Linked DNA regions of Schizosaccharomyces pombe. Changing the gene in region 1 together with any one later gene gives a genetic interaction. Each region holds a gene or a part of one and is shown on either strand. Other genes may lie near its edges.

What was found. Genes that interact genetically often act in the same process or in processes that back each other up.
Region 2: mutations in rga3 (region 1) and SPOM_SPBC21C3.14C together harm fitness more than expected from each alone (negative genetic interaction), as found in Schizosaccharomyces pombe (one large-scale study listed by BioGRID).

The regions. Positions count from the first base shown.
Region 1 is NC_003424.3:5,123,004-5,130,987, forward strand, and holds rga3 (Rho-type GTPase-activating protein Rga3), read right to left. Parts: upstream 6,031-7,984; 5' UTR 5,836-6,030; coding exon 2,926-5,835; 3' UTR 2,230-2,925; coding exon of another isoform or gene 1,777-2,229; 3' UTR 1,611-1,776; coding exon of another isoform or gene 1,389-1,610; 3' UTR 325-1,388; downstream 1-324. Other genes in the region: SPOM_SPAC29A4.22 (uncharacterized protein), read left to right, coding at 1,389-1,610; protein mug108, read left to right, coding at 1,777-2,229; RNA polymerase I upstream activation factor complex subunit Rrn5, read right to left, coding at 7,052-7,984. UniProt on the Schizosaccharomyces pombe protein: GTPase-activating protein for Rho-type proteins.
Region 2 is NC_003423.3:3,818,506-3,823,697, forward strand, and holds SPOM_SPBC21C3.14C (uncharacterized protein), read right to left. Parts: upstream 3,562-5,192; 5' UTR 3,405-3,561; coding exon 879-3,404; 3' UTR 533-878; downstream 1-532. Other genes in the region: rps1901 (40S ribosomal protein eS19), read left to right, coding at 25-383; SPOM_SPBC21C3.15C (aldehyde dehydrogenase), read right to left, coding at 4,063-5,192.

The sequences.
Region 1 (7,984 bases):
GTGAGCTCATCCACAGTGAATAAAAAGAAAGTCCAAATAAAGGTTATTTTCGTTATAATACAAAGATGTCGTAAAGAACGACGATCAAAGAAAAACAAGTGAGCAAAAAGGAAACTCTAAAAAAAAGAGAGAGAGAGAGAGAGAAACTCTCCGAGTATGTGTGTGTGTATGTTTGAGTCTCTTTTGTGTATGCGAGAAGAGAAAGACAGCAGGAAAATAAAGAAGAAATAGAAATAGAAATAAAAAGTCAAAACTATTTATTGTAGCTCAATGAAAGCCAGTATCTCACGCTGACCAAAAAAAAAATGAAAAGAGAAAGAGAGCAGAAAAAAAAAAAAAAAAGTTATTGAAAACAAGAAACAATCAAAACCATCTATTTCAAGATGACATGTATGACAAAGAACGCTAGTCAAAAAAAAGGCAATTCATACAAAGAAATAAAAAAAAAAAGAGAGAGAGAAAACAAAGGACTCCTATAATCATAAAGCAAGATTACCAACAATGGACAGAGATGGATAAAGAAAACCAATGGTGGAACAAAGACAAAAAAAAAAGAAAAAGTGGAACAAAACAAAATGCGAATCAAAGAAATTGAACAGAAAATTGAGCAAAAAAAACTTTAGTTCTGAGACAAACAAACAAAAATTTTCATCTTCTTTAACTTTTTCTTTCTTTTTTTTTTCTTTTTTCTTTTATGTTTTTATTTCTTCCATCCATTATTGATGTCTCGTTTGAATCCCTTTCTTTCACCCACCCCTCTCTTCCTGCAGTCTTTTTCGTCATGCCATTACCCCATCTTTTCAGGTAGCATCGACTCAGCCTTGTGACTCCAAGTGTGGGGAAGCGAAGGCGGAGAAAAAAGGGATTAGGAAGGGTGTCGATCATGACGCAATGCCATAACATCTCTGATGCACAACACCGTATTATAGACTGACTAAGCTTGCCGCGGAAATCAATTAATTGTCAAGAAGGCAGAAAAAAGAAAGAAAGAATATAAAACAACAACATAAAGCAAAAATAGAAAAGACATAAAAAAAAGACTGACCCTCTAAAGTCTTGTTTCCTTTTTGTTTTTCTCCTGGACAATTAAAACGACGCTTGTTTTCCGTGCCATACTTGAGACTGCGATACCACGGGATGAACAGCCTCTTCTAAACCAACCTGCCATTTTCTCTTCTTTTCCTTCATCCATCCATCAATCATACTTCGTCCTGCTTACTTGTGTGCTCCATTGCATTATCACCAAACCCTCCTCCTCCTCTTGGCCTGTTTCGTAAACCCACTTAACGGATCTCGCCGAGGTACACACTCACGGAAATATGCTATATGGGTGGTGGAAGTGAAGAGGTTGGCGCCACGATTGCAGTGGATGACGATGCTGGATAACAATGGAGTTGCGGGTGAAAGGACGAGTAAGGCACACTTACATTCAATGTAGCAACCCAATACGTATGACATTTGGCCACAGCAAGGAGATAAATAGAAGGTTGGGCACTAAGAGTGAAAATTCCATTCCCAAAATACAGTACATATATATTTCATCCTTCGTAATAACAAATACCGAATCGTATTCATATCCACCCTTATTGATCATCAGCGAGTCAAGCTAAATTACCCACCCACTGACAATCTAACAACAACAATAACAAAACAAACAATAACCAATTGAGTTGAAAATTGTTATTGACAGTCCAATCCAATCCAAATCCAAATCAATTTGAAATTGAATTTCATCCAATACTAATTGACTAATCGAATTTCTTCAAATCCACCGCAATGGCAAATCGTTTTACTTCTAGTGATCAAACTCAAGAAACCCATGGTCATCATGTTGACAAACACTCCTTCTCCGGTAGACAACGCCATCCTTCGATGGGCGTTCATTCATTCAACGAATACATGAATGAATATCCAGAGGCCGGACCTTTGGTCCAGGAAGAGGAGGATGACATGGAGAGCTCCAGCTACCATGCCACTCAGGAAGATATCGGCGACGATGACTCCAGGTCCGAGTCTACTCGCAACCGTTCCAGTCAACATACTGGCCGTGTTAATTTCTCGTCTCTTGGCGGTCTTGGCAGCATCTTTGGAGGAAAGAAATCACGCTCCAAGAGCGCTAATGGAACACAAAAGAAAAATGCAAACAATAACGAGGAACAACTTGATGAGGAAGAGCAAAACGATCCTTATCTTGATAGGGATATAAGCCTTTTAGGTAGTACTATTTGATTGCTTTTGTTTTTTTTTTCTTACTCCCTTGTAATTTTTATTTTTTGATTAGTCATACCCTGACTGACAATGTTGCAGATTACATTTAATTATGCCATCCATCCCCTTTCACGTTCACTGCCATTCATCCCTCACCATGTTCCCCATACCATTCTTTGAGATTTCGAGACATGATGGCACGACCGTAGTGTTTGTGTATGTATGTGTCTTTGATGAGTTGTTTATGTTGTGTTTATGTTCAAGTTATGAGAAACGAAATACTCGAACCAAATCGAGTTGAGTTCTGTTTAGTATCGTTAAAAAGAGTTTGTTTTCTTTTTTTTTTATCAAATTAGCATTATATTTTCCTTATTTTGCATCTCGCAATGCTTAATGGCAAATATCTTTATACAATCTCCATTTGCGTGCGTATTTATTTGTATCTGATGAGCGTGCGTGTGCTTGCCTGCTTGTCATAATGTACATCCTGTATTACCCAGTTTGAATAGTTCAGTCGTAAATGTAAGAGTGTTATGCTAATATCTTTGTTTTCCTTTTTTCATTAAAAAAAAGAGGTGTAAAAAAAGTCTCATTATTTCTTCGAAAAGTATTCCTTATTGAAGTTTGGAACACAAGTGGTTATTATTATCGTAAAGTTCCTTCTTCCCTAGAAAAATACAAGTTCCCCGATATTTTAATCATTATTCATAAAACAAGCTACAGATTATGAAGAATCTTATCCACGTTATCAAGCATAAACTGAAGAGCCGTACTCTTTTTGGTAGCATGCTGTAAATCAAACCGATTCACCTTATCTCGCATTAAAGTAGGTGCAAATACTGTAGAGACATTTTTCGAGTTCATCAAATTTTTCTCCGCGTGCTTGCATACACGACCCAAATGTGCAATCAAAAATCGAAATACGCTCAAATGTGCAGGATGAAGCGTTTTCATTACTTCCACTACCCGTTCAATTTTTTCCTCTTCCTTTTCGATTTTTTCCGCTTCCAACAACTCCTCGTATTGAGTGCCAGGTATAACTGGTTCCGGTAAGCGATGCAAATATGTTTTCAAAACCGACGTACAGGCAAACAAGTCAGAAGTCAAATGCTCCATTCGGATAGACCCGTTTTCAAATTCGTCGACTAACACTCGGACCTGAGAAGCACTGCCAGATATCCTATAAATACCTTCAACCTCCAATCCATGCGCATCCACGCAAGAAACGCACATAGCAATTACTTGAGGCAAAACCGACCCTTCAATTTTCAATTGATTTTCTAACGATCGTCCAAACATCGTTGGTGAAGGCCCAGGAGGAGGCATCCTCGTTGGCATTTCCGGCATCCATTTACTATTTTCACTTACAGTTTCACTCATTGTTTTCTCATGCTCCGACTCTGCAAACAGCCTTTTTAAACACCGCGAATGGCATGAAATTGAGCAATGAAAGCAGCGGAGTTCAGATCCCCATACGCTCTCCGAGCATATATAACACCTTGAGGGCTTGAATATGGCATTAACATGAAACACATGGTCACATTGAGTACGATCTTCATTTCCTACTACAGGATCGGCAGACTTTGATTTAGTATGCATTGATTTGAACGGGACTTTACGGTTTACATCTCTTGGTTGCAAATGCATACTTCCCTTTTTTCCCTTAATGTCAATTCTCGTAGTCACATTCAAATTTGGTGACAACGGACCAGGTCGACCTGATGACTGCCCAGAGTTGCTACTCACGGCAGTAAGTGGATTAATACTGCTGGTTGTATTTTTGGAAGATGTGGTAATAGTATGCTCCAAATTGGATTGGTTTTCAGGAGGTACTCTATGCTGAATTTGTTTTACCAAATTGTTGTTTAAGTCGGCCAACTCGAGATTTTTGGTATTTAGGTGTACAGATGCTTCAAGCGATTCATTTAAAATTTTTTGTACATTATTGTAATCGTCAAGCAGCTCATTTCTCCTTTCCAAAAGATTGTTTATTTCAGTGCCGTAACTCTCACGAAGCATTGCCATGTAAGCATTGGCGGCAGCCACCAAATCCTGATGTTTCGGATCTTTCAGCGTGGGATCATCTGTCACATCAGCAAACGAAAAAAACTTTTCACAAATTTCAAGTTTAGCCGAACGAACAGTATCCTTATCTTCCGTACGAATAAACTTAGAGTTGTCAAACGTAGAACTTGAGAGCCTTTCGGACAATTTTTTGGTAAGAGCAGTAAGATTTTCCAACTGTTCACGCAATTCTTCAACATCCGAATCTCGCTCTGATTGTGCTGGAGTTGAAGAATGATCGTTTGTCGGTAAATGGTACTCTCCATTAGATCCCAGCGAAGGAACGAGTGTTTGCTGAGAAGTCTCAGAAAGAGAATGCGAATGCCGAAAACTTTTATGGCCCCCGCCATTTGGTTTGGGAGAAAGAACCTGAGGCGGTGAAAGTAGCTGCGCAAAAGATGAAAGGTCAGATGGCTGAGAAGAGGTTTTTTTATGGGTTTGGACATTCGGTGAGCGGGTTCTCGGTGAATGCGTATCACTCGACCTGTAAGAGGGAGAAAAAGGCCGAAAGGGAGAGGTGGCATTGTGAAGAGAACGCATATGTCCATTCATGACAATTGGCTCTGCTCGGTCAGTCAATGACATGGTTTTATAAGGAGAAGCAGAGCCAGCAAAGTCGTCCAGGGCTTCCTCATTAATTGTGGGTTTTAAGCTGTCCGAGGAAGAGCTATCGTTAACAGGAGTAAAAGATTGTTTGTGAAACGTATGGAATCGATTCTTCCAAGTATTTTTGCTTAACGGAAATGTGGCTGTAGGAGACTCAATTTGTTGCTGCTTGTTAACTTTTTGTAACGGAGATATAGAAGGTGAAATAGGAAAGAAAGAATCGTCATACTTCATCGGCGATTCAAAACTCGTAAACGAGGAAAAACTTCGATTTTTGGCACTAGGCAGCAGCGAATCTGCAGAATTAGACGCAAGATTACTATCCTGTCCATCGTTCGGCACATTACCCCCTTCTGCCTGACTCATGTTAGTCGGTGTTTCGCTAACTAAGCGGTCTCTGCTTCCACCAAAAGGTGATAATGGTGGCTTTTGAGGAGACATAATTTCAATGCTTAAAGACTTATTAGATTCCACTGAAGACTTTGTCTCTGTGGGCTTAATCGTGACATCAACCTCAAAATTGTGATAATCAGCGCTCTCGTCTGAAGACCTGGAAGGGTGACGGACTTGTTTACAATCATTACAAAATATAGTCCTATTATCTCTTTTAAAGTTAGAGTCAATTATTTGCTTTCGGCAATCATGGCAACGAAAACACTCTCTGTGATAGGAGTCGTAGCCTGACATTAGGGCATAGTCCTTGATCCTCATACGACACGCTGTACAGGTATGGGCGCAAGAGCTACACACCGGTCGTCCATCAGAGGTTTGCACCAGCATTTGATCACTGTGCTCCAATCCTTTATCGCACTTCGTACAGCAGAAGCAATCCTTATGCCACATATGACCCCCAAACGAAATAGGTGTCTCTCTACGTTGAAATGCCTGTCCGCAGCGAAAGCATACTGTGCTTCCCTTGCTTGATGGAGATTTGGAAATACTTTTTCGAAATATCATCTTATCGTATATATGCTCTTCTTATTTCCTGCTAAACGTTATGAACTTCAATCTAGCGTCATGAATTTGGCTTTGTTGATTTTTATTTTCACAACGATTCCTTTGGGTACCTATTTTCATTCCTCAGCTTCCCATCAAGTAAATGAAAATATTCCCAATTTTATGATTGAAGTTCGAAACAATTGGTAAATGGCTAAGGAATAATTATTACTGCAGTTGTTGGCATCATTGCCCAGTGGAGCGGTGAGAACGGCAGTAGCGAGTCGTTCACTCTAATCCCTTAAAATTTGCATGCGTCGTACACATGGCACTATGGTCTTTGGCTTGCCTTGCCCTAGCCTAGCGAAACACTATGGAAATTATCGCCGTGTTCTACGATATGGTGCGTAAAATTGCCAAAAGTCACATGGTTTATTACGGGAGTTTAGACGAAACGGGTGTTATGAATAGCTATTAAATACGATTATAATATTACAGATAATTAATTTTAATGGGTTTGGCAGCGTTTCCGCTCTCTAGGCTTTTCTTTCCACTCAAAAATGGTGATATTTGTGAAAAGGGAAATTGCCGAAATTAGAAGGAAAAAGGAAAATGAACTGTTTTTCTGGCTTAAATAGCTTTACCTTTAGAAAAAACCCGCTAAAAAATGGTTAAAGATATATACATTCCTGATCAAAAAACACAGAGGACAAAAAAAAAGAAAAAATTTCGGTAGCAACAGGAGTAAACAGAAGGAGAGATGCTTTCTAGAGAAAAAAATTTTGTAGACGTTTGTAGCGTGAACGGTCGGATCGTCAAATAAAGGGACAAGAGAAAATGCTCGTTTCCAAAAAGTGTAGAATTTATAAAATGTGTATCTCAAATAGCGGGGTCGCTATAATTGATTAAGTAACTATTGCTTTTAAGAAGGAAGTAAAGGCTCCTAAAAAAAATTTTTATAGTTGTGGTGCGAATATTGGGACAATTATACGGAAGAAAGCAATCAGTTTTTAACAAAAAAAGTTTCAGAATATTGTGAACACTGGGACTCATCATTATAAATGGCAATAACTGATTGCTATAAAGAGGAAGTATTAAATTTTCTTTCTAGGAAAAAACAAACTTGGCAGAAAATGACGATAAAAAGAAAGGATTGCTATCCAACACAGAGGCAGCGCTAAAAAACAATTTATGTTTTTGTAAAGGCTTCAAGACTGTAGTTCGAAAATGAAGACATCTATTTTAAAGGGAGTGACAACTCCCAAGAAGAGACAGGTTTTGCAAGTTTCCTTTCAGGATCTTCTGTACTATTTGGAAGATTAGACAAATCATAGGATATTAACCCTACATATCCGCTTTCAAGTTCAGATACGACTTCAGCTGCACCCGGGGCATGGGAAACAACTGGATCCTTGTAATAATAACATATAGGTTGAACTTCATCATCACTATCGGAATGTTCGTCAATGTTGTGCAAGCTCTTGGAAGTTATTTTAAGAGTCGTAAACACGTCGGAACCTTTTAACTTGTCTTTCATTCGCTTTTGAGCCAGCAAATTACTAAGTGGTATAGTTTCAAAAAGAGCGTCCTCTGTCGACATCTCATCGGTTAAATGCAGCACATATTTCCAAACAAAGCTTTCGTAGTTTTTGGATTGAATCATGTCGTAGGCTTCGACGCTGTCATCAATTTCCACAAGACTTTCTTCTGCGACACTTTCATCCATGAACATTTGAGCATTATCAGGATACTCAGCCTGATTAACAGATTTCTTAAAACCATTGATGCTAGTCTCATCGGCGGGTACAGAATCTACCTTGCGCTTTACATCATGTTCTCCAAGGTTACCATCGCTTTCATCTGTCGAATGTTCCTTAGAATCAAAAAACATGGTGTTTTCGTTATTTTTTGTCTTCCGTGCTCTGACTCGTCCTAATTTCAGTTTTGATTGTCTTTCATCAGATTCCATTATGTGTATATAATTTTGAAATTTGAGACGTTTGTTTCTTTTGTAAACATTCATCTTTTGTCTAGTGGGTAAATACTTCCAAAATCCGGGTATATTGAATCGGTGAAATCGTAAAAATTTGCCTGACAGAACAACGTCTCTATTCTTGATAATAGGTTTTCTATGAAAGGCATTGTTAGCCTCTAGTTTCCTAAACCTAGA
Region 2 (5,192 bases), on another chromosome or scaffold:
TTAACTTACTAATACAATCTTTAGGCAAGATGACTACTCCTCAATGGATTGACATCGTCAAGACTGGTACTCACAAAGAGTTAGCTCCTTACGACCCCGATTGGTATTATGTCCGCGCTGCTGCCATTGCCCGCCACATCTATCTCCGCAAGCAAGTTGGTGTTGGCCGTCTTTGCAAGGTCTATGGTGGTTCCGTTAACCGTGGCATGCGCCCTTCTCATCACCGTGATGGTTCTGGCAGTGTACAACGCAAAGTTGTTCAAAGCTTGGAGAAAATCGGTGTTCTTGAAAAGTCCGACAACGGTGGCCGCCGTATTTCCCAACAAGGTCAACGTGATTTGGACCGTATTGCCTACTCTCTTTTGGAAGAAGAAAGCGAGTAAGCATTTCTATAGTCTTAATCTAAGTGTTTAAGTGGCTTCTCTTAATGGGTTTATTGAATAAGTAGACGAAAAAAATCGTAATATAAATAAACCTTTTACCTTTAAACTGGCATGTAATCCCTGTAGACTTTTCATTACCGTATCAGACATATTAATATAAAAACACATGGATTATTTATTAATTTCTATTCTCCTAATTTTCTACGAAGTATACAATAAATAGTAATAGGCACGTCGACGATCATGGTATTACCATCTGTCTACTCATTCTCCGAGTAAAATACTCAAGCTCAAATACTTAGTTTTTCCTCATTTTCCATCAACGAGCGTTCAGCAAAGCAAAAGAACTTAAATAAGCTCATTAAATCTTGACTGGTTTAGTCTGTAGACGTTAAATAACATAAATCACATAGATACTTTCTTTCCACAAGTCTAGTAAAAATACTAAACTTAATTGAATTCCCATATCATTAATCCATTTCCCTTTAACTATGCTCAATCTGAAGTGAGCTCTGATTCAACATCACTGGAATAATTTGGCAATGGATCAGTTGGCACCTCAATAGGTAAAATAGTATATACTTTCTCAGCTTCAGAACTAGCGACATCAGAGAGCGGAGTAGAATGAACCTCCTTAGTTATTGAAGCTTCATTTTCCGCATGTAAAACGGAAAATATCGTATCAGAACTAGCATCCAGATTATCAGCGCGACTTACTTCGGAGTAATCCTTCACACTATCAGTCTGGAGGTTAGAACTATCAATTACATGACCATCTTTTTCCAAGCTTGGATCTTTAACATCAATAGGTAAAATTGAATAAATTTTTTCGGCTTCAGACTCTGGAATATCACTAGGCTTAAAGGAATAAGTCTCTTCAGCAACAGATTGTGGAACATCAATAGGTAAAATGGAGTAAACTTTTTCGGCTTCAGATTTTGGAACATCAGAAGGTAAAAAGGAATAAGTTTCTTCAGCAACAGATTTTGGAACATCGATAGGTAAAATGGAGTAAGCTCCTTCGGCCTCAGATGTTGAAACATCAATTGGTAAAATAGAGTAAACGTTGTCAGCTTCGGATGCAGGAATATCGATCGATGGAAAAGTGGAGAGTCCTTCATTAATATTGTCATTGAGCGTGCCAGTGTAACTTATTTCCTGTGTATTGGAAGAAGATGTACTGGTTGCTTGATTTGTTTTAATAGTTTTATCACTATTTAAATCATTGAAGATTTCATCATCCTCATTGAGTAAAGAATCGCGTTTCAAAATTTTACGCTCAGAATCAGCTCCATGGGTTGGAATGCTTCTTTCATATATTTCAAAAGATGCAGTACTGAAATTGACATCATCACAGTCAGCATGCTCATCATTAATTTCAACAATTTTATGGACCTGATCGGAAACGAGATAATCAAAGTTAGGAAGTTCAGCAGAAGATCTATCAACCATTTTGAGTTTATGGGAATTTTTTACAGCAGTTAATCGCTGGACTGCACTAGAAGCAACACTTCCTATCCGTGAAAGGTGTTGTTTAATAACGTTGTCAAGAGTTTCGCCATAACGGTTACCAACCTTTTCGCTTTCTGCAGTAATGTATGAATATACTTTCTGAATCAGTGCATTTAGTTTATTCACTTGCTCAGCATTGTGTTTTATTCCAGAGCAAGCAGCAAGGGCTACCTCAGAAGAGGCAGCAGCTTGTTCGCGAATTGAATTAATGCCCATCTCAATGTTTTCAGCTACGTCCGCACGAATTGAATCACTTAGAGTCCTGAGTTTAATAGCACGTTCGTGAACCCTTAAAATAGAATCTTTAACGTATTCAAATAGATCCATAATTGCCTGATCGTAATTAGATTCTTCGGCTTTTTGAATAAGATTTCCTAAGGAATTCTCAACTGCCAATACACGAAGGTTAGAGATCTCTTCAAATGCTTCAAGTTCCTTTTGACAACTATCGGTAGCCTTACGAAGAAGATCTTCCCAATGCTCGGAAACTGAAAGAGTAAACGTAGAAACCAAGGTTTCATACTCATGCTCAAGGTAATTCATTGCGTTGGAGAAGCAGTCATTTTGACTGTTGAAAGTAACAGAAGAGGGAATGGAATATTCAGTTGCCGGCTCTTCTTCTGCAGCTTCCATTGGTACAGGCGTTTCTACAGACTTTGTTCGCGATAAGATAGTAGGAGAGGATGTGTAATGTGCTGAGCTGGACGCCATGGAAGCAGACATTTCAGACAGTATTTTTGAGCTTGTTGCTGATGCAAAGGCCTCCGATTTTTCCTCGACAACACTCTCATAAATATGCTGAAGTTGGGGTTTAATATGCATGTCCAGAAAGGTACGCAAAAATCTTATAGACGTCTCAATCATTTGAGTGATTGTAGCCTTAGCGGCAGGAAAAAACACATAGCGTAATTGCATGTAACCATCCATTGCCCCTCTCTGAATAATGGGTTTATAATGGTGATATGCCGGTATAGCATGAATCTCCCAAAAATATTGAAGCTTCTCGGCAATGTCCCTCGAGATGGTACGAACTTCTTGTACAACTCTTTGAAAAAACGGAATCAGAACATCAACAATAAAAAAATGAATCCTTTCCTTCCCTGTTGTATAGAGTTCACGTAAATTATCGCCATCCAACACTTTAGAGCCAATTTTCCTGGCTTTTTCGTTGAATGCTTTTATACAAGGTGCGACTTTTTTATCGATTACTTCATTAACCTCATATCGAATATTCTCAACTTTAGGCTTTGCATGCTCATCGTAGTAAGACTTTACATTAACAGTAGCCTGCTTTGCAGCATCTACGATAGGACTGGCTTTAGCAATTTGAGATTGAACAACCGTTCCGTAGGGACGGACGTGATAATCATATATACTTTTCAAAGCAGCACCTTTGTCCTGCTTTTTGGCTTTTCTAGCTAACACGCCATTATCTTGAAGAATAAGGGAAAATAAAAAAGTAATAATAAATGCCCTTGCTATTGCTTTAAAGTATCTTTCGATTTTCATTCTATGAAACTAAAGTGTACAGTTAGAAAGTAAAACTAACTTATTTGAAAAAGGAAAATGGAAACAATAATTAAAAACACAACTTTACTACTGTAGTCAAAGCAGCAATATTTTAGCTGCTAGTTGTGGTCAGCAGATAGGAAGTGGGGAAAGATGTAATAGTCGAGCAACCTATACTAAGAGTACTCAATCAATTATCGTGTACCTTATATACCTATAGAAGCGGGAATGCCAACACCAATTTTATTATTCAAATAAAAATAATCAGTATTTGAGAGTTTACAATTATAATATATGGACGAGTTTCGCATAGACACATTATCGAGATAAATTCAAAAAAAATAAAAGGTAAATTTTACTTAAAAGTGACAACTTAAGAATAGAAATAATTTAATACCAACATGTGATCCACAATTTGTAAACAAACAAGCACTTTACGAGGTTGTCTGTCAAACACCATATTCAATACATTGGTCCTACACCAACTTATACAAGCTTTTTAGCTTTTCTCTATTGACAAGCGCGTACTAATTGTTTTTAAATACTCACTATCAAATTTAAAAATTTAGGTATTGTAATCGTATACAAAGAATGGAAAACTAAAGTTTCAAAGAACAAAAAAATGAGTGAAGAAGTGGTACTTCAGAAGATACAATACTTAAGAGTTACGCCATAATTGGTAAACATTAGGAACAAGACTGATCCAAGCGCCATACACAGTTCCCATAAGACCGCGAACAAATTGCCAAGCCTTTTGAGAATCGGGAATAGGATAGTCAACAGCAGGGGGAATGCCAGTATGGATGGCACTAAATCGATCGTAAGCAATAGCCTTGGAATTGCAGATTCCGCGTAGACCCTCATATCCGGCAAATCTTCCATAACCACTTTTCTTGCAACCACCAAAAGGCATTTGTAGCAAATAAAAGGCACCAAAATCATTAACAGCAACCATACCGGTTTCCAAATTATCAGTGAAATATTGACATAATTGCTTATCCCGGCCAAACACGGATGCCCCCAACCCAAATTCAGTACCGTTAGCAATCTCTAAAGCATGTTCGGGTGATTTTGCTCGAAAAACAAGTGCAATTGGAGCAAAGCACTCTTCTTGGGCAATCTTCATCTCATTAGTAGCATCAACAAGCAAAGTGGGTAAAAAATAATTTCCTTTAGGATACTTAGGATGTTGAAAACGGTGACCACCGTACACTAAACGAGCTCCTTTGCTAACAGCATCCTGTATTAAAGATTCTAAATGATCAAATCGATTATTAGATACCATAGCACCCATATCGACATCATTTTGGGTGTACATGCCAAGTCTCATAGTGGAAATTCTGTTGTATAATTTCGTAATTATGGTGTCGTAAACGCCATCCAAAGCAATGATACGCTCAATACCAATACAATTTTGTCCGGCACTTTGGAAAACACCTCGCATAACTATAGACAAGATCTCTTCTAGTCTGTGGTCGTCAGTTAAAATACAAGGATCTTTTCCTCCTAATTCAAGGCACAAGGGAGTAAGTTGTTTTGCAGCAGAAGCAGCAACCAATTTTGCGATAGGCTGAGAACCAATGAAAGTTATATGCTTAATTCCAGAGTGACTGGTAAGGTGATCAGCAACATCTGGTAGACAAGTAATACATTGAACGAGTTCAGGGGAATGGCCCATTGATTGTAATAAACTACGAACCATTTCACAATATTGATGTGTAGACCACGCTGTAAGCTCGCTTCCCTTCACAACAATAGCGTTTCCAGCAAACAATGCAGAAATGATAG